Linked DNA regions of Tribolium castaneum. The protein of the gene in region 2 interacts with the protein of the main gene of each other region in a pairwise test. Links are inferred from orthologs where the notes say so. Each region holds a gene or a part of one and is shown on either strand. Other genes may lie near its edges.

Region 1 (10,060 bases), on a different chromosome or scaffold from region 2:
TCGTCATCGTCCGACCTTAAACCGAAAAACCTACAACCAAGGTACCACCAAAGTACCACCTACCTATACTTCAACACGTGCCCTTCTCCCACACTGGACGCCCTCACAGTGGTCGCAGACTCGCTACTGACCGGACTTTGCCCCCCGTACTTCTTCAAATTATTGTCCTTACTGATATAACTTACATTGTCAAGACTGAAGGCGTGGTTCTTGTTACTAAAATCGAGGTGCAGGTCGTTGTAGTCGTCTTGTTCGTCCACAGGAACGCACATTTGTAACACTTGTGTTTCGTACTCTTTCAAGTTCGGCTCAACATAAACAGTGTCGTACCTTGTGGGACTTGCTGGTACTACATACTGTCTTTGCATTTGGTCTTTGTAGGACTTGTACCTCGACCAAGACACGCAAATATAAATAATCCCAACGATTCCAAGGACGAAAATAATGCACGCGATGATGATCAAAGCGTACGGAAACACCTCACCGTTGAAGGAAGCTATGGAGGCACTTTTAATTTTTTGTAGTACCAAAGGTTCGTGTATGTGGAAGGCAGTGTTCTGGATCTGGCCTGTTATATCAAACGTTATGTTATCCATGGCTTGTTTGTCGAAAATCGCGCGTTTGACTAGAGTACTATTCCGTGGGAGAATTTTTTCGGTAGTTGGATCAATGACATAGAACCAAACGTCGGTACCTGAAGGATCAGTCTCGAGAGTACCATTGGTACCAATAAACTCTCTCGTGGCCAGTTTTTCCACCCCAACTATTAAACCCGTCTGTTCTTGCATTATGTCGATAATCAAGGGTAGTTTTTTCTGGACTATGTCAGGTTTAGCGTCTCCGATCACTAGTACCAAGCGATTGTCTTTTGTTATCAAATTAACAATAAAGGGTGCTTTGATTTCGTTGTATTCAGTGGCGTTCGGGTTATCACGTGTTTTGACAATCAATTTAAATGGTAATTCACTATTATCAACATCGTCAAAAGTCTTCCTGGTCTTGACAATGCCGGTACTTGAATCTATAGTGAAGTACTCGGTTTTGTCGAGCGAAAACTCCAACTTTCCGTACTTTCCACTGTCTTTATCGTCAGCCTTGATTTGCGTTACTGTTGTCGAAAGAGGAGAATTGTCAGTGATAGCGGCGTGGTACTTGTGGGTACCACCAGAGGGGAAAATGAAATAAGGGACATTGTCATTAACATCGACCACATTAATGGTCACTAGAGTGATACTGAACTCCTTATTAATGAACCCTTGGAGTGACATGATTTGGACTTCAAGTTGGTACGACTCGTCTGTTTCAAAATCGATGGTACCATTCAAATAAAGGGCGCAATTCCTGTCTTCGGTCACATTGACAATGAATTTCCCTACAATTTTTTAGTCAAAAACCTAATTACAAAAAAGGTACCACCGGTACTTTGCTCATTTCCCGAAATAATGAGACACTTGAGTGGGATATTGCCACCATGGGTGCGACTATTAACAATGGTCAGTGTTTTAACTTTGGTACCACTTGTCGCATTTTCGGGTACTTGCACATGGTACGACGTATCGGCAAATTTCAAACCAACTTCAGGAGCGACCGTTGCCACATGTTGGATGTAAATATCCAAAGTGATAACTGATGATAATTGTGGTTCCCCTAAATCATAGGCACGGACGTCCACCTAAAAAACACAATTGAGCGATTTTTGGCACCACTTGGTGGTGGTACCTGATATTCCGTATCAATTTCTTTCTTGAGATCGTTGGTTACTTTTAAAATTCCTGTATCAGAGTCAATTTGGAAGTACTTGGTGGCCTTGCCACGTCCTATAATCTCGTACCGAACCTTATTCCCGGGTGCGGTACCATCGGAGTCCGTCGCCACTAAATTAGTGACAGGAGTACCAATCGCCACGTCATCATCAAGAGTGATTGGGTGCGGTATGATGGTAAAAACCGGCGGTATATCATTCCTGTCCTCGACATTGATAATCACTTTGGTGGTACTACCTTCCTCATTCGACATATTTTCGAGAGTACCAATGGTAAGGACATGTTGACTGTCTTTCTCGTAGTCCAAACCACGTATTGTATAAACAGCACCACTGTTTTCGTCAATACGGAAAAGGTCAGTTGGACCTTGATGGATGACATAGGTGATTTTTTTTATAGTGTCGGGGTCTTCAGCCTGGAAGTATAGTACTTGGAGAGTACTGTAATGATCTGGAGGTGAGTACCTTAACGTCGGTGATGAAATAATCGGGAATGTTTTCGGGTACTGACGCTGTGTATAACGATTTTGTGAAAATTGGAAGTTCGTCTTCAATGTCTATGACGGAGATGGAGACAGTGGCGGTGGCTAGACGTGGGTCAGGGGCGCCATCTTTGGCCGTCACCACAAACTGGTAGTTCTGCAATGGTACCAGTTTTTTAACTATTCTACTAGATCTATCACGATTGTACTAGAAAATATCAATCGTGTTTTATAACTAGTGTTCTACTACCACATATAGTACCTACTTGGTACTTCTGTAAAAAAGCTATAATACGATAGTTTGTAGTAGGTACTACAAAGTTATCTATTTTGGTTTAGGATTTGTGTTCTAGTAACCTAATGTACTTCTGAATTAAAATATTACAATAGTACCAAATAATAGGTACCATAGTTTGATGGTGGTACCTTTTGTGTTTCGTAATCCAGGGCTCGGTTAGTCCTTATCTCGCCGGTCTCGTTATCAATATCAAAGGGCAAACCAGAGGGAATAGAGTACGTAACAAGGGCATTAATACCCTCATCGGCATCCGTAGCCTTTACAAACCCTACCGAGGTACTATTTAGCCCTTCTTTCACCGAAAAATTGTACGGATCGCCCACAAATTCGGGATTCTTGTCATTTATATCAGTCACCTTGATATTAACAGTAGCTGTTGATGATAATTTACCCGCATCTTCAGCCTTAATAATCTGAAAAGTACCAAATAGTGAAAAATATCAAAAAAAAAACAAAAAACCTACAAGTTTGTATCTAGTCAAGTCCTCACGATCCAATTTTCGGATAACTGTGATCACACCTGATTTGGCACCAATTGAAAATTGTCTCAGATCGTTTCCTGAGACTATGGAGTAGGTCACAGGGTCGTTTTCGGGGTCCATGGCCTAAAAAAATGACCATTAAAGTGACCAGATTTTGGTCCACTTGAAATGTTTTGGTATCGTATCCATGCGTCCTAGCGGACTGTTTTGAACTTCTTGGGCCCGAATATGCCAATGATTTTGCAATTTGGGCCTTAATTCGTCCAATGGACTCACTCAAAAAAACTATATCTCGGAAAGTACTAATCATAGCTAAATTTTGTATAAAAGATTTGGAATCCTGGCACTATTTAGAATTTTGTTAACACAAATTTAACTGCGATTTTGCTATTTGGGCTGTAATAAGCTTGCTCAAAAATTTTCAAAGGTAGTACCATATCTTAAAAAATACTAAACGTAGCAAAATTTAATATCCAAGTTTGAAATCTTGGCAAAATTTCTATTTTAAGTTTCGTGAATTAGAATATAAGAGAGATTTTGCAATTTGGGCCTTAATTCGAGCAATGGACTTACTCAAAAAAAATCTATATCTCATACTACTAACCGTAGCAAAATTTCGTTTACAGATTTGGGATCCTGGTACTATTTGGGCTTCGTAAACCCAAAAATAACAATAATTTTGCAATTTGGGTCTTAATTCGTCCAAAATTTTTTTTCAAAAATTTTGCAATATCTCAAAAAGTACTCATTGTATCAAAATTCCGTTTACAGATTTGGAATCCTGGTAAAATTCCGCACTTACCGTAATTGTGGCCACAGTCGAGTTAATCGTAGCCCCTTCGCTGACCTCAATTTCGTAAACCGACTGTTCAAAAATGGGACTTTGTGTATTAGGTCCTGGACTTATGGTCACTTCAACGATGGCTTGTGAATAAAGCCCTCCTTTATCAGTGGCTTGAACAGTCAAACTGTACTGATCCCCTGCATTTAATTTCCCCACCGTCTCAAGTACCCCCGTATTGGGGTCAATCCGGAACTTGTTATTTCCATTATTCGAGACGTGATAAATTGAGTATGTAACTAATGCGTTATCGCCTTCATCATTATCTGTAGCTTTGATTGTGGCGACTTGGCGTTTCACATCCCCGGCGGGAACCCCCACTGGGGCTATAATAGGCAACATGGGGGCGTTATCATTGACATCGTTCAAGTGAACGGTCACAGACATGGGGGCACTTGCAGCGGTACCACCTTTTTCACGTGCAACAATCTGGAATTTAAAACGGCCAGGGTTTGGAGGATCACGGTCTAAATTGTTTTCGTTGACTAGCAAGTACCCCATTTTATCAATTGTGAAAAAAGGGGTCGTTAGTTCGAACGTGTAAGAGGGTTTGGGGTCATTTGGGCCCTAAAACAATTCAGGGAGTCAATTTTTTTGGTACCACTTTGATATAACTTACAAAATCCTTATCAGTCACTGATATGAGAAGTGGTACCCCTTCAGAGTCGAGTACTTTTTCCCCAATTGGGGAATTTTCGTTGACATAGCCTTCGGTTGATGACAATTCTATTTCAGGAGGATTTGCATCGACTGGTTTAACAGTAATGAAAAGTTTCGCTGTTGTTGAACGTTTTGCTTCGGATATTTCTTGTGCCTGAGGAAAAATCAAAGTTTGACCCAGTTTTGTGCTTGTAATTGGGGGAAATTACGTGTAATAAGCTTCATATCGGGGAATAAAAACGCAAATATTGACGGCTTGAAATAAATTACAAGAGTAATTAAGATGCACGCAAAGTTGGCCGAAAAAATGCGATCACATATGCTTTAATGCAACTTTCAATAAGGATTTTTGCTATAAGTACCAAACAGTGGTACCAAAACTAAAAATTATGTATACTATTGGAAAACACTAAATTCTGGCCGAAACATAGGTATATCAAAGAATTTTGTTAAAAAAAAAACAAAATTGTGGTACTACTAAGTTTGGTACCATTTGAAACAATGCCCACCTTGATTATGATGTTGAATTGTTTGGTGGTTGAAGTGTCCACGGCTTTGATTTGCCTCACGGCACCCGTTTCCGAATCAATTTGAAAGTACTCAGAGTACGATTCAGGAGTACCACTCACAAACGAGTAGTGAATGGGCGAATTGATCGTATCCATGTCCACCGCTTGGATTTTTTCGGGTGAAATATTAAGTATTCCGTGAAGAACCCCACTTGAAACCTATTACAAAAAAATTAAACAAAAAAAATTGCAAATAATTGAATGGTACCGAAGCTGAATATTCAGGATTGATGCAGGTACCATCCAAAAGCATGCACCCTTTGTATATGAAAGAAGGGTTCTGATCATCGTCATCTTTAATATTGACTACGAGTGTCGTTGTTGACGAAAGTCGTTGTGTGTCATCGTGCGCCCGGTCCTGGAACCCAAAATGGTACCAGTGGTACTACTCGCCAAAACTGGTTACTTACCGTCGCCACGACGGTGACGTAATATCTCTGCGTCTTCTCAAAGTCTAGAGTTCTATTAACCGTAACTTGACCCTGATGTGGTAAATTGATGGCAAAGTACCCGAAGCCATCTTCGCTGTGGATTCGATCGTCGTCCTCGTGCGCTAAATTCTCGCCTTTTACGATCGAATACTCGACTAAACCATTGACGCCGGCGTCTTTATCTTTGGCTAAAATGTCTTGGAAGATTGTGGTACCCACAGGTGTGAGCTACAACAAGTACCAGTAAGTGGTACCATTATTTTTTTTGCGATAATTACCTCCGATATACTCGTCTCGTACGGCGTGTTGACGAATTCTGGTGCATTATCGTTAATATCACTCAGTCTTACAATTACTGGTACAGTTCGTTTCTTGTGAGTCGATTTAATTGTGCAAATTAACTAAAAAGAGTACCACTTGGTAAATTATGCATAATTATTGTTATAATTGCCAGTAGTTTGCGTTCGAGAGTGATTTGCTCGTTTCAGTCAATGGCCCCGAAATGGTACCAAGTCGTACCTTAATTTTTTTTGAAAAATGTAACTAATTTTAGTAATAATATCAGCAAAAGAAGCAAATTGCTTGTTATTTTGACCTTCTCTCAGAAAATGTAGTACCAATATTTAACAAATATCACAATATAGCACTTTATTTGAAGGTGGTACCACTTTAATTACAGTGCTATAATGTGGTACTACTACCAAATTTAAAAAATAATTATATTTTTATATTTTTGTGGTGGTACCCAAATAATCAAATGTCACTCAACCCGCCCACACCTTCCGCTCTCTTAAAACCTTCGCATATTTGCTACACTTCACGCCAACCTTGAACAAATTTTTTCCTTTCTTCCTTAACCGCCGAACAATACTTTCTCGTTAATTTCTGTCACGAAACAAGCTTAAATAATCGCTCCCGTAACGGTAGTACCTTTCACTCTCTTTGCAAATTAACTGGGTACTACCTGAAAAACAATATGCGAGAGACTGTTTTCGTCTCGATCTAACGGCGCCAACAATTGCAGCTTTTTCCCATTGAGAAAAAAAAGCGCAGGCCCTTTGGGAAACGCCAAATCGAGGAAAATATCGACATTTGGCTCGCCAACAATTGGTAACTCTGCAGGAACGGTCTCTTGGCTAATTGCTGAAATGCGCAAAAATCAGATAAGCGTAACACTTGCAAAACCGCTGATTTGCACAAATTAATTGCAAAACACTCACATTTTCCGCGACTTTCTTCAATGTCCAGGATTATGTTCGATTGACCCGAGTCCACTTCACACAACCCTGAAACACAATTAATTAATTAGTGGCACGAACGAATCGATTACACTTCTTCACACACAACTAGCAAAGATGGAGGTGCGAAGCAACAAAATTGCAAAAATAAACTTCAATTTTCTGTTACAGAGCTTCGAAAATTCGGCTATTTACGTAAACATTATTAAACCAATCGCCAAATACTCGCTCTATCTCGGAATTTCGCCCTTTACGACCAAAAACGGGCAAATAGTACTATCACGTATCCGTCTAGTACCTAGTACCATTCTAGTACTCACTAACATCGCCCTTACTATCATCTACTCGACCAGTTTTGGCGAAACTAGCGACTTTACCAAAGCTGAAACCATTAAATTTTTGACAATGTTCCGCGACTTGGGCAGTACCACCATGATGGTACTCAACCTATTTTTTTCCCAAATGTACTTTACCAAAAAATTGGAACAAATGCGCCAAGTGCACGAGGTTGATAACCAATTGAAGCAAATGGGTTGTGACCTTGATATACCTAATTCTGTGGTCCAGAAACACTTAATACTACTCATGGTACTAGTTAATTTGATTTTTAACACTTGTGGCGAAGTGTTCAGTGCTTGGGTACGCTGCCAGGATCAAATATTGATCTTCCTGGTCAATTGGTACCCAAGACTTATCATCGGGATTATGAATAGTACCCTCAATTTGATATTTTTGCTAATACAGACTAGGTTTGAGATGATAAATAACATTATCACACGTGGGGATGTTACTAGTACCACTATCAAAAAACTGTTCAATCTGCACAAAATTTTGGTTAAGGTGGTTAGGGAAATCAATGGAATTTTCGCATTCCAGGTACTTATGTGTACCAGTATGAACTTCGTGTTGTTGATTGGTGATTTGCACACTTCTATCTACATCATTTTCTTTGATATGTTCTATCAACACCACAAAATCGTGCTTGATATGGGAAAAAACTGTGTTACTTATGTTTTCGATTTGTTCTATCTATCAAAACGAGCGAGTGATCTTTGCAACGAAGCTAATAAGACTAAAATACTACTTGTTGGTCTTAAAATTGATATTGATCAAGAGGAGGAACGCAATGTTGTAAGTACCACTATCAAAGTTTGATAATATGGTCCGTCATTTGTTTAGGTCGTCACTTCGGTACTTAAACTTATGCAAAATAAGCTCGAAATCACGGCTTGTCGCTTGTTTAGCATTGATAATGCGCTACTTTTTTCGGTACTTTCCAACTTTTGATAATTGATAATTCAATAACAGGTTTTAGATATGCGGAGCTGCCTCCTCCTACTTGTTCATAATGTTGCAACTCGATATTGGGAGCAAAACACAAGGCACAAACTCAACTCTTTATTGATACTTTCGGTATTTTATTATCAAACTGGAGCATCACACATATGTACGTGAAAACGGCACTACAAAGCTATCACTTTGATAATTATCAATCCTTGATTGTTGAAACCTTACCGAATGGAGTAACGAATAATTAATACTGAACATTCGTAATGCTGTTATTTCCAACTTGTTATTTGATAGTTTCAAGCCAGAAGCTACAATCTATCAAAGTTTGATAAAACGCACGATTATCAAAAAACTTACAAAATTTCGTTTTTCCTCGTCTTGAATATCAATCTCAAAGTCTAGTACTAGTTTTTTGGCTAAATTCGCCTAAAACACTATTGTGATAATTACAGTTATCAAATTGATAGTCGTACCTGGATACACAACTCGCTACATCTCCTAGTCAAGTAGAATAGTTCTATTATGTTTTGTAATGCGTTTTTGAGTGCAATAAAGACAAAAATCCCTTTATTGGTTTCAAAAAGGGCAACTGTGATACCGGTGTATAAATCTAGTACCGTTTGGGCGAAATAAAAGGTCACAGTTATCAAAATCTGGAGGTCAAACATCGAATTCAAAATTTTGACCAAACGTTGTAGTTTCAAGTGACACGAGACCAAGTGCCAAAGTATGGTCTTGTTCCCCTTTTGGAACAGTTCGTTTATCAATTCGAAGCGTTTCTGGACTATCAAAGTCTGTATCAAAAAATATGTTAAAAAGGTTGTACTAAAAAGACGAGAGTACTGAAGAACGACGAACGAAGCGAAAAAATCGTTTCTTTCGAGCAAGATATGGGTCACAATTTCAGATGATAGGTTTAGGGCAAAAATTTCAATGAGGATTAGGACAGTTAAGGTTTTTTTGTGTCTCTGGGCCAGGTTTGACAGGCGTTCTTTCAGCCCTAGAGCCTCTAACTTGTTATCAATTTCTGATAGTTTTTGGCGAATCAAAATCATTTTTCCATTTCGGAACAACATGAGGTACAAGATCGCCATCATGTTCAAACCCCAAAGAAACACACGTGTAAACACTACTAGTGTTATAGCACTAGCCCTAGCAACGTTCAAAAACTGATAATTCTTAATAAAACTACAAGTTGATATAAACCACACGGTTTGATATAGTACCACACGTAAAATTTTCAATTTTGAGTATATGAGACCTTTTGGCGTGACCTTGTAGACGTTGATACCTAAAATATCAGTCGCGACGTGTAAAGGTTTCAAGATTTCGTTCATTTTGTGGACGGTTATTGATCAGCGAAAGCGTAAACAACCTCAAATTAATTTATTCCACTAATCAATAAACACTTTCGAGTCAGTACAAGCTTATCAATCATGATGAAAACCTTATCAATACAACAAATCACCTTCCCGACTACTTTCATGTTTCAAATCCTTGGTGTTTATTTCGGGGCGAAACGCAAGCTTTTGATAACAGTACTATATTTATCAATTTTCGGGTACTATCTGCTCGATTTTGCACAATTTGTGACACGTCCATCGAAATTTGCACTATGGCGGGTGCTCAAAATTGTCACAATTTGTCGAATTATTGGATCAGTTTTCACAATAGTAGTACTAGTACTAGCACACGTTAAGTATTACAAAAACTTGGTAAAGCTTGCACATGATATTGAGACAATTGATAAGAGTTTGGTGGAGTTAGGGTTTGAAAAGTACCTGGCTAAAGCTAGTTATCGCCACCATAGAACCATTATCAAATTGATAATTGTCACAAATGTTGGGTTAAACGTAGTGTTGGAAGCATACCCAGTGTGGCATATGCCACACGGAAAGTTTGGGTACTGCATTTCCAACATTTACCCCAAACTATTGATAAGTACTATGACTATGACATTTTATCAATTTGCAATAATCATTGAGGAACGGTTCAAAATTATTAATA
Region 2 (10,060 bases):
CTCGCAAAATTCCATGCCCGATTATAAAGTGTAATTTTTCCAAATTTGAGGTCGGGCGTGACTCAAGCCATGACTGGTAGCTGTCAGCTGTATATTCCTCATCTTGCAGCTTCCGCCTCACATCCTCCCCTAGTTTATTCTTCCGTTTCAAAGTCAGCGAGACTAGTTTATTCCGAATCGAGCGTGGTTTCTGCTTCATGAACGAATCCGGGTCCAGCCCCATCATTTGCGCCTCTTGAAACTCCTTGCTTCGGATGAAATTGCGGCCTAAAGTGGCCGTCACTTTGGACATTACGGAGGTGTTGTCGCGGTCCATGGTGTGGTACCTGGGCTCGGGTAAATCCCCGGTGAAGCGGAGGATCGTGACCCAGAGCGCCTGCGCGGCGAGTTGGTCTCCTTGCGTGTGCAAAGGCAAAAGTGGGTGTTTCAGCGGCTTGCGCGAGTATTGGTGACCCACGTTGCCTTGGAAGTAGGTCGCAGCGAATTTTTGGAACTTGAATTCGGACAAATCCTCCTCATCTTCCGACTGTGTCTGCATGGGGCTTATGATCTCGGACTCCGCAGGCTGGGAGGGCAAGTCATTGAAAACCGAGGTCTCGCGGCCCGGAGTTGGGGCCTCGCTGGAACTGTCCGGGAGGAAGTCAAACATGGCTTCGACTAGCTTCGAGTCATCAACGGGCTCGTCGGCTTTTCGGGCCGCGTCGTTGATTAAATTCTTCTTGACTTCAACACGTCGTCGCTCCTCCATCTCCAACTCCATTTCTTTCCTCTCCAGTTCGTACATTCGCTCGCGGTAGTTTTGCTCGGCTATCTCTTTCGCTCTTTTATTCCCGGCATCTTTCAACTCGCGTTCTTCCTTTTTCTTCAATCTTAAAGCCTCAACGTGGCTTCGCCTCTCAAATTTGATTTTCTTGAACTTGCGCTGGGCTATCATTCGGCGCACGTGTGACTGTATTTTAATGATGGCCCACATTTTGTGGCCGTATTCCCGCCGCACGAGATAGCCCCGAGCGTGGGCTTGCAGCCCCACAATGTGACCCCGCAAATGCTGGAAGCGGTGCGAAAGCACCCGAGCCCTGATCAGTGCTTGCAGTCGCATGTAACCCACGCGCATCCGTTTGTACCTCTGTCTCTGGATGTAGCCCTTCCAGTACTTTTGTATTATCATGGTGGCCGCTTTGAGGCGCAGGAAGCGCCTCCGGTAGACCCAGCCCCGGATTGAGCGTTGCAAAATCAGGATTTTTTTCGTAAGGACTCTATCGCGTTCCTGCTCCAAAAATAAATCGTGGGCGTCCTTGAGAAACACTTTCGTGTGGCCGAGCTGGTAGTCCGAACGGCCCAAAACCGCGGCGCATATTTTGGCAGTGGCGGCCCGGCAGTCGGTTCGATGGGCCGGGGGAATCCCCGAGATTAGAAACCTGTATCGTTCGACAAACTCGCTGAAGCTGTGCCGGATCGGATAGCCGGCTCTTCGTATCCGGATTGTTTCCATCATGCCGGAGTAGCGTAACTGGCGACAGCACAAATTGCGGTCGAACATCATGGGTTTTTTAAATTCGTTTGGTTTGATACACCGTATGAAAAACGGTTGGCAGTTGGATAAGGTTCGCATAAGTGAGTCGAGACTTTTCTTGAATTGGGTTGAGAGTGTCGGGGTTCTTTTCCTGGTCTCCGACCCCATGCCAATGTCGTCGGCGAATATTTGTTGCAGGAATTTATTGTTAGAGATTGCCACTAGCTGGAGCAGGTCGGCACTGAAGGTGTCCCGGTTCTTCTCCAGGAAACTCCGCGTGTCGTAGAAGACGATCCCGGCGAAGTGGTTCAAACCGAAGCTTGTGTTGATGTCCGATTTCGGTTTGAGGTAGTTTCGGTGCGTTCCGTGTGTTTTGTGCAACTTGGCCAGCATGGTCTGGTCAGTGCCTTTCGGGAACTTGCTCTCTTCATCGATCAGCGCCATGATATTGAGTTGTTTGACCGCAATCAAGTCCAGCGAGTCCTGATTGTCCACGAATTCGATATGTTGCCAGTTGATCCCCTCGTTGTTGTACTCCTCCTGCTCCAATTTAAAGATATGCCTGACGAAAAACTGCTGGAGATTCTCGTTCGCGAAATTGATACAAAACTGTTCGAAACTATTATGATTAAAATTCTCAAACCCGAAAATGTCTAAAACACCGATCGAACTCCTCTGCCGTTCCTTCGGCCTGTATATTGCACTGTTGATTTTTTTGACTATGTGGACGAAGAGCCGCCCGTAGATGCCTTTAACGAAGGCGTCGCGGACGTCGACGCTCTGCTCGCGGGATAAGGTCGAGACTACGGTTTCCCCGTGGGCGAAGAGCGTTTTCCTGGTGAGGGCGTCGATGAGCGGCTGTGGGGGCACCCCCAGCAGGTGGGCAACGCGGTGGACGTTGGTCGGGTCCGGGATTTCCGTCGCGTCCAAGTTGTCCACCACCGTGGCTTTGTATTTAATGTTGCCAATGTGGAGGAGTGCGGCTAGGAGTTTCATTATTTCCCAGATCTCCGGGTCGGAGAAGAGGAGCACTTTCATGGCGCTGCGGATGTCGGCGAACTCGGCAGCGTCGTCCCGGCCCTCGCACGTTATACAACCGCCCTAAAAAATTAATAATAAATAAATAAACACAAAACAATAAGTGCGTACCCCCGTGAGATATCTAAATTGACTAGCATCGCCCAATTCGAGTTTCTTCTTCTCCTCCTTGCCCAGCCCGGCCAACAGGCAATAGAAAACGTGGTAGTTCCTCTCGTCCGGATTCTGGGACACAATCCGGCTTTTCTCGAGCAAGTACTGCTCGATTTTGGCACCTTCAATAACCCCGCTACTGTTGAAATGAATATCAATGTATTTGCCGAATCTTGAGCTGTTGTCGTTCCGGACTGTCTTCGCGTTACCGAAAGCTTCCAAAATGGGGTTAGCTTCCAGGATTTGTTGCTCAATCCAGGAATGTTTGCCGCTGATAGCCGCCAAGTACTGGAGAATCAACTTCGTGCTCTCTGTTTTACCGGCCCCTGACTCCCCAGAAATGACCACGCACTGGTCCTGGCCATAACGCCGCATGTTCCCGTAGCAGTTATCACCGATGGCGAAAATATGTGGGGGTAGTTCCCCGATTTTGCGCTCCTTGTACAGTTTTATCTGTTCGGCGGTGTAAATGGGGAGGACTTGGTACGGGTTGACGGCGACCAGAATCGAGCCAGTGTAAGTCTGGAAAAATAGTTTTTTCCGGCTATTTCTCGTTTTTTGGGAGGCTTACATAAATGAGATTTTCGTTGTATCTGATATGCAAGTTCCTGAGAATCCCGGCCTCGTGGAGGTCGCCCAGCCCGATCATGTCTTCGACCCCGTGGATGGACGTTGCGTGCATTGCCTTAATTCGGCGATCTGGAGACAGCCAGTGCTCCTCCCCGTCATCGTCCCGGACGGCGATCCTTCGCCCCTCGGCGGAGACCACCTTGGCACCGATGGCCACGTCGAATTCATTTCCAGAAATGGGCTCGATCCAGATGTAATCACCCTAGAATCACAATTCACACACCTGTTCAACGTGATTAAATTAATTGCAGGCTTGCTGCACGTTCCACGTAATTGCTGGGCTGGGATTTAATAAAAACCATTAGATAGAGACTTAATGATTAATAAATTCGGTGCCTCGCTGTGAGAACCTCGGTGACCTCTCAGGTTCAATAACTCGTACCGAATTCGAAAATTGACAATTTCCTAACGGTCACCTGCACCAGTTTCATCTCTGGTGATGATAATCAATGCATTTCCTCCGTGCCACGAGTGATTAATGGCGCGGAAGTTGGCTCTTATCGAAAAATATTTGAGAAATGTGCCAAGGGGTCAGAAAAACGGCGCAAAACCGTTCGTGCTGTTGGTATGAGGAGCACGTAAGTGTGCCCGTTTCGACTCTTCTTGAAGAGTTTCAAGGACCGGAAGAATTGAAAGTTGGTTAAGAAAACAGCTGCAATGACCATTCTTCACTTCAATGAACAAAGAAACTTGATTGAGCAAAGCGGAATTGCAACGTCACGGGTTCGCCAGTGGCGTGTTTGAACGCCAAATTAGGGACAAGTCGGGACTTGAACGTAATCACACGGTTCTTCCTTTAGTTTTTAACACTCCCTGATAAATAAAACTCTTTAATTTGTCATTTGTGTTTTATTTTACTTAGAATACGTTTTATTTTTAGAATTACAGTGAGATTACGAGTAGATTTATCGGAGGCTTATCTAAAAATTTAAACAATTTGAAGATCCAAGCATTGTTGACATGATAAAACCCGTTAATCATTAGGTGTGTTCGACACTGTAACGCAACACAATAATGCTGTCATAGTCAGCCATAAATTAATTTTACAGACATCACCACACTCGTAAATTTTCAAAATTTTATGGCTCCGTCTGAATAATAATGCTTTTCCTCGAGTTCCGCCTTTAGGTCCGGTTTAAATATCATTTCCTAATAAATTTTGAGCCCGCCACTGTGTGCCCGACGTCTCAATCCAATCGAGAAGTGTGTCCAAACAAATCAAATCCTTGTTTGCGATTGCCCAACCTTGACAGTGCGGTTTTTGCAAAAAAGTGACCCCAATCTAGGCCACAGCGGCCCATCGGTCACTCTCTAAATTATGCAAACAATACAAGAGAGGAAATCGGATACAGGAAGTGAGTCTTCATGGTTTGATGGTCGTGGTATCGGGGAGATACGTACTATATGAAACTTTTGTCTCTTTGTGGCACTTCCGGAGGTTTTCGCCCCTTTAATCGGGGTATCAATGGCCGATAAACGCCAAGTCTAGACGAGTCATCGCGACTTTCGCCAGGAGAGAAACTCCAGTAAAAACAATAATTATTATTAATAAAACGAAACCACTTACCCGTGTCACTATAACCATGGTGGCGACGCATCAATGTTCCTGCAACGAAACCTTTTGTTAATTTAATTGAATTCATCGTGTGATAAGAGGCACATTTTAGCGATTTTGATCGATTGACGAACGGTCGATAGCGCAAGAAAGTCAATTAATAGTTGAATTATCGTTACGACATTTTGCAAAACCGGCTTTTGTGTCCATAATCCAAGGCTTTCGACTGGTGCATTGTTGCAAACGCGACTTTCGGTTTCTCGATGGGAAAAGTGGCGGAAAATGGAGCGAATCGCGTGTTTTTTGCAAAATTACATCCAACTACAATATTGTAATTTGTCAACCTTGGCTCATCCTTCGACAAGAAAATTGCATTTGGCGGAAATAACAGGGAGATAAAGCCACCATTAGGGCTTTTTGTTTTTGAGTAATTCGGTTTGGTAGAAATGTACCGTTTTTACGCCTACTTGGCGCTGTGAAGGCCACGTTTTGTTCGGTTTTCTAACAATAGTAGATTCTTTCACTTGTTTTTTGTCTAATGTTCACTCTTTATTTATTTGTCCTCAAGTTTTTTCATACTGAGAAGCTTGTGTAAATGTGGTAGACGTAATCGATTGCTCACGATTATTTATGGTCATGTACAGGGTGATTCAGCGATAAGCGATTTAAATTAAGTAAAAAATACTTTTGATTCAAAATTTTTATTCAGGGAATAGACATATGACATAATATAAGTCAACAAATATCGATTAAATTGCAAATTTGGCCTTGAAACGCCCACAATTGGCAACGACCTCAAGCCCCCTGCAATTATTTTTATCAAATTTAGGTAAACCTCGAGTGAAAGTTGATTAGAAGGTAATGGCTCCATTCATACTCATATTTCACATCAAAGATGATTGAGGCCACCACTTGCGTCAAGGCAAAATTAGGGGCATTTTTGATTACGAACGATTTTTTTCCGATTTATTTGTAAATAAATAGTCCGAAAGCTGACTCATCTTGTACATTATTCTTTTATGAAGAAACATAGCGTACAATGTCAAGGTTGCCGAGTCTACGACCTTTGATCTAGACGGCTATACATCGCGAAAGATCAAGCAAGCCACGCGGCATCTCCACGCCTACTTTTTTCTACTTTCTACTTTAACACACTGTACACTGATCCACATTTCATTGCATACAATGGCTCATCTCTCGCGAAAAAAAGGAAAATTCTCATTGTTCCATTCATTAAAAAATGCTTAGATATGGAAAACGTGTAATGTTTACGTAAGGTACAATCTGGAGTAGTGTGTTTCGGTTTCATTGTTAATTTTGGACAGCGTGAGAGATGAGCGGTTTAGACACCGTTTTCGATTAACATCGACATAATTAAATTAAGGTCACAAATGAACAATTGACGAAAGTCGAATCATAACGGTCATCCAGCACCACTCTGTATATAGTGCGTTCGCTGGCATATGGCTTCCGCGAAAATTCGCAATGCAGTTGGGAAATTTCGTCTGCAAAGTTGGCGATTTATACAGAGAGTGTCAAAAAGAAAGGTTCAAAATGGGTCGAAATTTACATTCGAAAGGATTGTAATTCACACAAATTGCAAAATTTTGACACTTTCTCCACTTTTATTCAAATCAAACAACAATTTCGTGCATGTTTTCCCCAGCGATGAGAGAATTTTCCTAAAATAAGAAATGCATCAAGTCGCGGTGACCTTTAAATGTCAAATTAACACAGCCAACTAATAAAGCGTATTGACGAGTGACGCTTAATTAACTGTGTCTATAAAAATTTATTTCTTGTCATGGTGACGGTCAAGGAATGGCAAAAATGCTGTTGAAGTGTTAAGTTTTTAAACCAATTTACCATTTTCTTATCAGAGGTGTCTCATTTCATCATTAAAACTTTACAGTTAATTTACAAGTTTACAACAATAACGTTACATTTATTACGATGTTTCGTCAGGTGGCGATATGGTTCCATTTTTTGTCAAGGAAATCACAGACTACAATATCCTACTTATAGAATAAGAGAGAAATCTCGTGTCTAGTAGATTATAAGAAAATTTATCAACTCCAATAATAATTTAAATTTGCAATGTAAAACGGACTTTCTATACACTTTATTTATATTTGTTTGTATCAATGGAGCTTGTGTCTCGTGGCTGTTGATAAGCGCAAATTGTGACATTCTAGAAGTATTGTGAAAGTCGGGAACTTTAAAAATCTTCTGCAATTAATTTATAGGCACGGTAGGTATAGTCTCAGTTAGCTATGAGCTGATTAACTTAATTAGATTGTCACCGGCAAATAACAGAAATATCTTCTGCTACATTCCGTTTCAATTTAATAAACGACACGAGAATGATTTTAAATACAAAAATTCGTTCACATTATCAATTATCCAAGTTCTGTTTTTCGTAACTGTCAGAAATTATCATAATAAGATCAGCCCACCCGTGGAAAAGTGACAGCTGCCTACTATGACCTGTTTCTTTTTTAAAAATGCGCTGGTGCTTTGGATGGGATAGGTATGTCAAAAGAAATTCCACAGCCTTCTTTTGTTTTTTTAACATTTAATTAAAAGTCAATAATTAACTGACACAATAAAATGAAGAAATCAATAGGAAAATAGGTATTAAAATAAATCTTTTTTTTGTTTCTTGTATTATATTTTTTGGTGTTTTCTGTGCACTTTTACAATTTCTTATAAGGGTATATTTTTTCTAATTCCAATAAATGCCTAGCCTTTAATCAGTAATGCCGTTACATATTTTTGAAGAAGTTAAGTACTGTAATAATAATTATACAAATTATTTCCCAAAATTAGATAATATTAATTCATTCATTTATTACTAATCTATCATTATATTATAATTATCTATACTGCCAAAAACGCCAGAAATTGATAAAAAATTTTTTGAAGAAATTGTATCCGTTGTCCACGGTCATTAGGACTCATAACTTTTTTTATTTTTTTTTATTTCGGTGTTTTTTGTTGTTGTGTATTCTTTCGTTTTAGGATTCGAAGCCTTTTTGGATCATTTTGACGGAGCTGTCACTTGGATACGGCATTCAAAATTTAAATTAAGCGGCACATTACGCTCAAATTTCATAGGTGACTTGATGAACAACCATTTTTGAATATAATAACTACTATAACTAACACCCAAAAAAACTATTTCTATCCACATTGTAAAACGATATTTTAACATTGTTTTGTGCAAAAAATACATAAAAAAATATCGCTAGATCCAGATTTATTTACTCAAATTCAATTCGCGATTACTTTGACCCTTGTCAAGTAATCTACATTTTTTATTATTTGTTATTATAGTCCCAGTACAGGGAAAAAATGAAATAGTCCTTTTTTAACACACGGTTTAAGATGCAAGGCCACACCTTCGCCATTTCTTTTGATGGTGAGTGTACACCGTAATGAGTTTTCTCATTTCTTGTTTATTTTGTCTTAAAGTAGTACCAATGTGTTTTTATTTTTTATTTTGTTTTGTACTTTTATTGTTTGGGTTAAATTTAATCCATCCTTTCTTATTATTTAATCTAAACTGGAAAAACACGTAAGGAAGCACTAAAAAATGAAGTACCACGAAGAATGGTACTAATAAAAGCCATTGTTGTGCCAATGATTGTCACGGTGTTAATACAAACAATTTCGATGGTAATTATCTCCGCGAAGCGATTAATGTCCTATTGGCGTTTATTTAGCAGAAATTTGACTGGAATGGCAACAGTGGGTTCAGGTAAATTACCTGTGGCTCACGCTAGGTAAAGTAGGCGTATCGAACCCCGGCAAATTCCTTGCCCAAATTACCCGGATCTGCCCCGTCCACGTGACCGCTTACAAAACAGCTTACTGTACATACAGTAATTGTTTGCATTAAACAATGATAAACCATATAGATAACAGTATTTACAAGACACGGCGTCCAAGAAGAGAATAGCGGAATGTGTGTGGACTTAAGGCAAAGTACCGGTAAATCCGAAGAATGTCTAACATCTCATCATAAAAAACTTGTTATCTGAGCCGACACCTGTTCCCAATCCCTAAGCCATCGGATTTCCATCGCGAACTCGCTTTCCTCGACTTCTTTCCGGAGGATGGTAGAGCGTGAAGATGCCTCTGGCCGTAAAGAAGCGCGACGTGGAAAGAAGTTGGGACTTTACCTGGGTTTTACAATGTAATCCTTAACATAATGTTGGGTAATTTGAAGAGGACACACAACGCGACACTAACACCTCATCAGGTCCCGGTACTAACGTTCCGCCGCACTCAACTATCACCAAATGGTCAAGTTTCTGTTACTTTAATTGCTTGCGCCCAGGTGAGGCAGCGCCATCGACGGACAGGTGTGGAAGTTGAGGAGGAGGCAGGTGACTGTAGAGGGCACCACGGGCAATGTCACGGGTTCGACTACCTCAATGACGATGTGAGTCATCCTCCACTCAAAATTTTGAGTCAATTTGAAGTTTGAGTAATGGTTGGGGGGCTCTATGCTTTGTTTAATTATCGCCCAGTCGGAGAAACTCCAACCGGGCCTCAAAAAATTGTCATAGACTCATTTGTATTGTCCCACTCCACGGAAATCTTTAGTAAAAGGCGAAAGATTTATTCGCTTTGAAGTGAGACCAGAGTGGGGAAAAATTTGGCTGATGGGATACTTATGTCAGGGAGGCGGTTAGGAAGTCGGGACTTCTAATAGGTCGCACCCTCTAACGATGTGCGCTCAAACTATTAGATAACGGCGAACAGATAAGTGTTCGAAAAAAGTTAAGGATTTTATTGATTGAAGATGAATGTATTAAAACTTTTTTCGGTCAGTTTAACATTAATTCTAATGAATGTAGTAACAATGTTTAAATCCACAACTAATATTATGCCCAGTTTTGAACTATAATGAACTATTTTATTAGAATTGTGCCTGTTTTTCAACGCTTTGTCTTTTTTACGTCTTTTCTCTTTGTTCACTAAATTTCCATTTTTAAAAAATGTTTCTTTACTTTGTGATCTTTGATAAAAATTATCGCCCACTCAGAGAAAGTTCAACCGGACCTCAAAAATTGTTAAACCCAAAAAGTTGCATTGTAAAATGCGAATAAAAGATTTATTCGACGATAATTTAGCAAAAAGTTGGACTCTAATTACGACTCAGT

What was found.
Region 1: the proteins of ck (region 2) and Cad99C interact in binary tests that used the Drosophila melanogaster proteins (3 or more experiments, as listed by UniProt). The link is inferred for Tribolium castaneum from reciprocal best matches to the Drosophila melanogaster genes ck and Cad99C.

Annotation. Positions count from the first base shown.
Region 1 is NC_087400.1:3,732,627-3,742,686, forward strand, and holds part of Cad99C (cadherin-99C), read right to left. Parts: intron 6,812-10,060; coding exon 6,746-6,811; intron 6,669-6,745; coding exon 6,490-6,668; intron 5,927-6,489; coding exon 5,804-5,926; intron 5,754-5,803; coding exon 5,505-5,753; intron 5,453-5,504; coding exon 5,303-5,452; intron 5,254-5,302; coding exon 5,035-5,253; intron 4,680-5,034; coding exon 4,485-4,679; intron 4,433-4,484; coding exon 3,827-4,432; intron 3,148-3,826; coding exon 3,007-3,147; intron 2,956-3,006; coding exon 2,671-2,955; intron 2,402-2,670; coding exon 2,228-2,401; intron 2,179-2,227; coding exon 1,720-2,178; intron 1,673-1,719; coding exon 1,423-1,672; intron 1,373-1,422; coding exon 64-1,372; intron 16-63; coding exon 1-15. UniProt on the Drosophila melanogaster protein: Cadherin that functions in epithelial morphogenesis and the intestine epithelial immune response. Essential for female fertility. Regulates the length and organization of apical microvilli in developing follicle cells and salivary glands.
Region 2 is NC_087398.1:4,867,993-4,878,052, reverse strand, and holds the start of ck (myosin-VIIa), read right to left. Parts: upstream 9,549-10,060; 5' UTR 9,074-9,548; intron 5,146-9,073; exon of another isoform or gene 4,995-5,145; intron 4,941-4,994; 5' UTR 4,920-4,940; coding exon 4,902-4,919; intron 4,838-4,901; exon of another isoform or gene 4,736-4,837; intron 3,537-4,735; coding exon 3,276-3,536; intron 3,227-3,275; coding exon 2,663-3,226; intron 2,615-2,662; coding exon 1-2,614. UniProt on the Drosophila melanogaster protein: Myosins are actin-based motor molecules with ATPase activity. Unconventional myosins serve in intracellular movements: can function in cells as a single-molecule cargo transporter.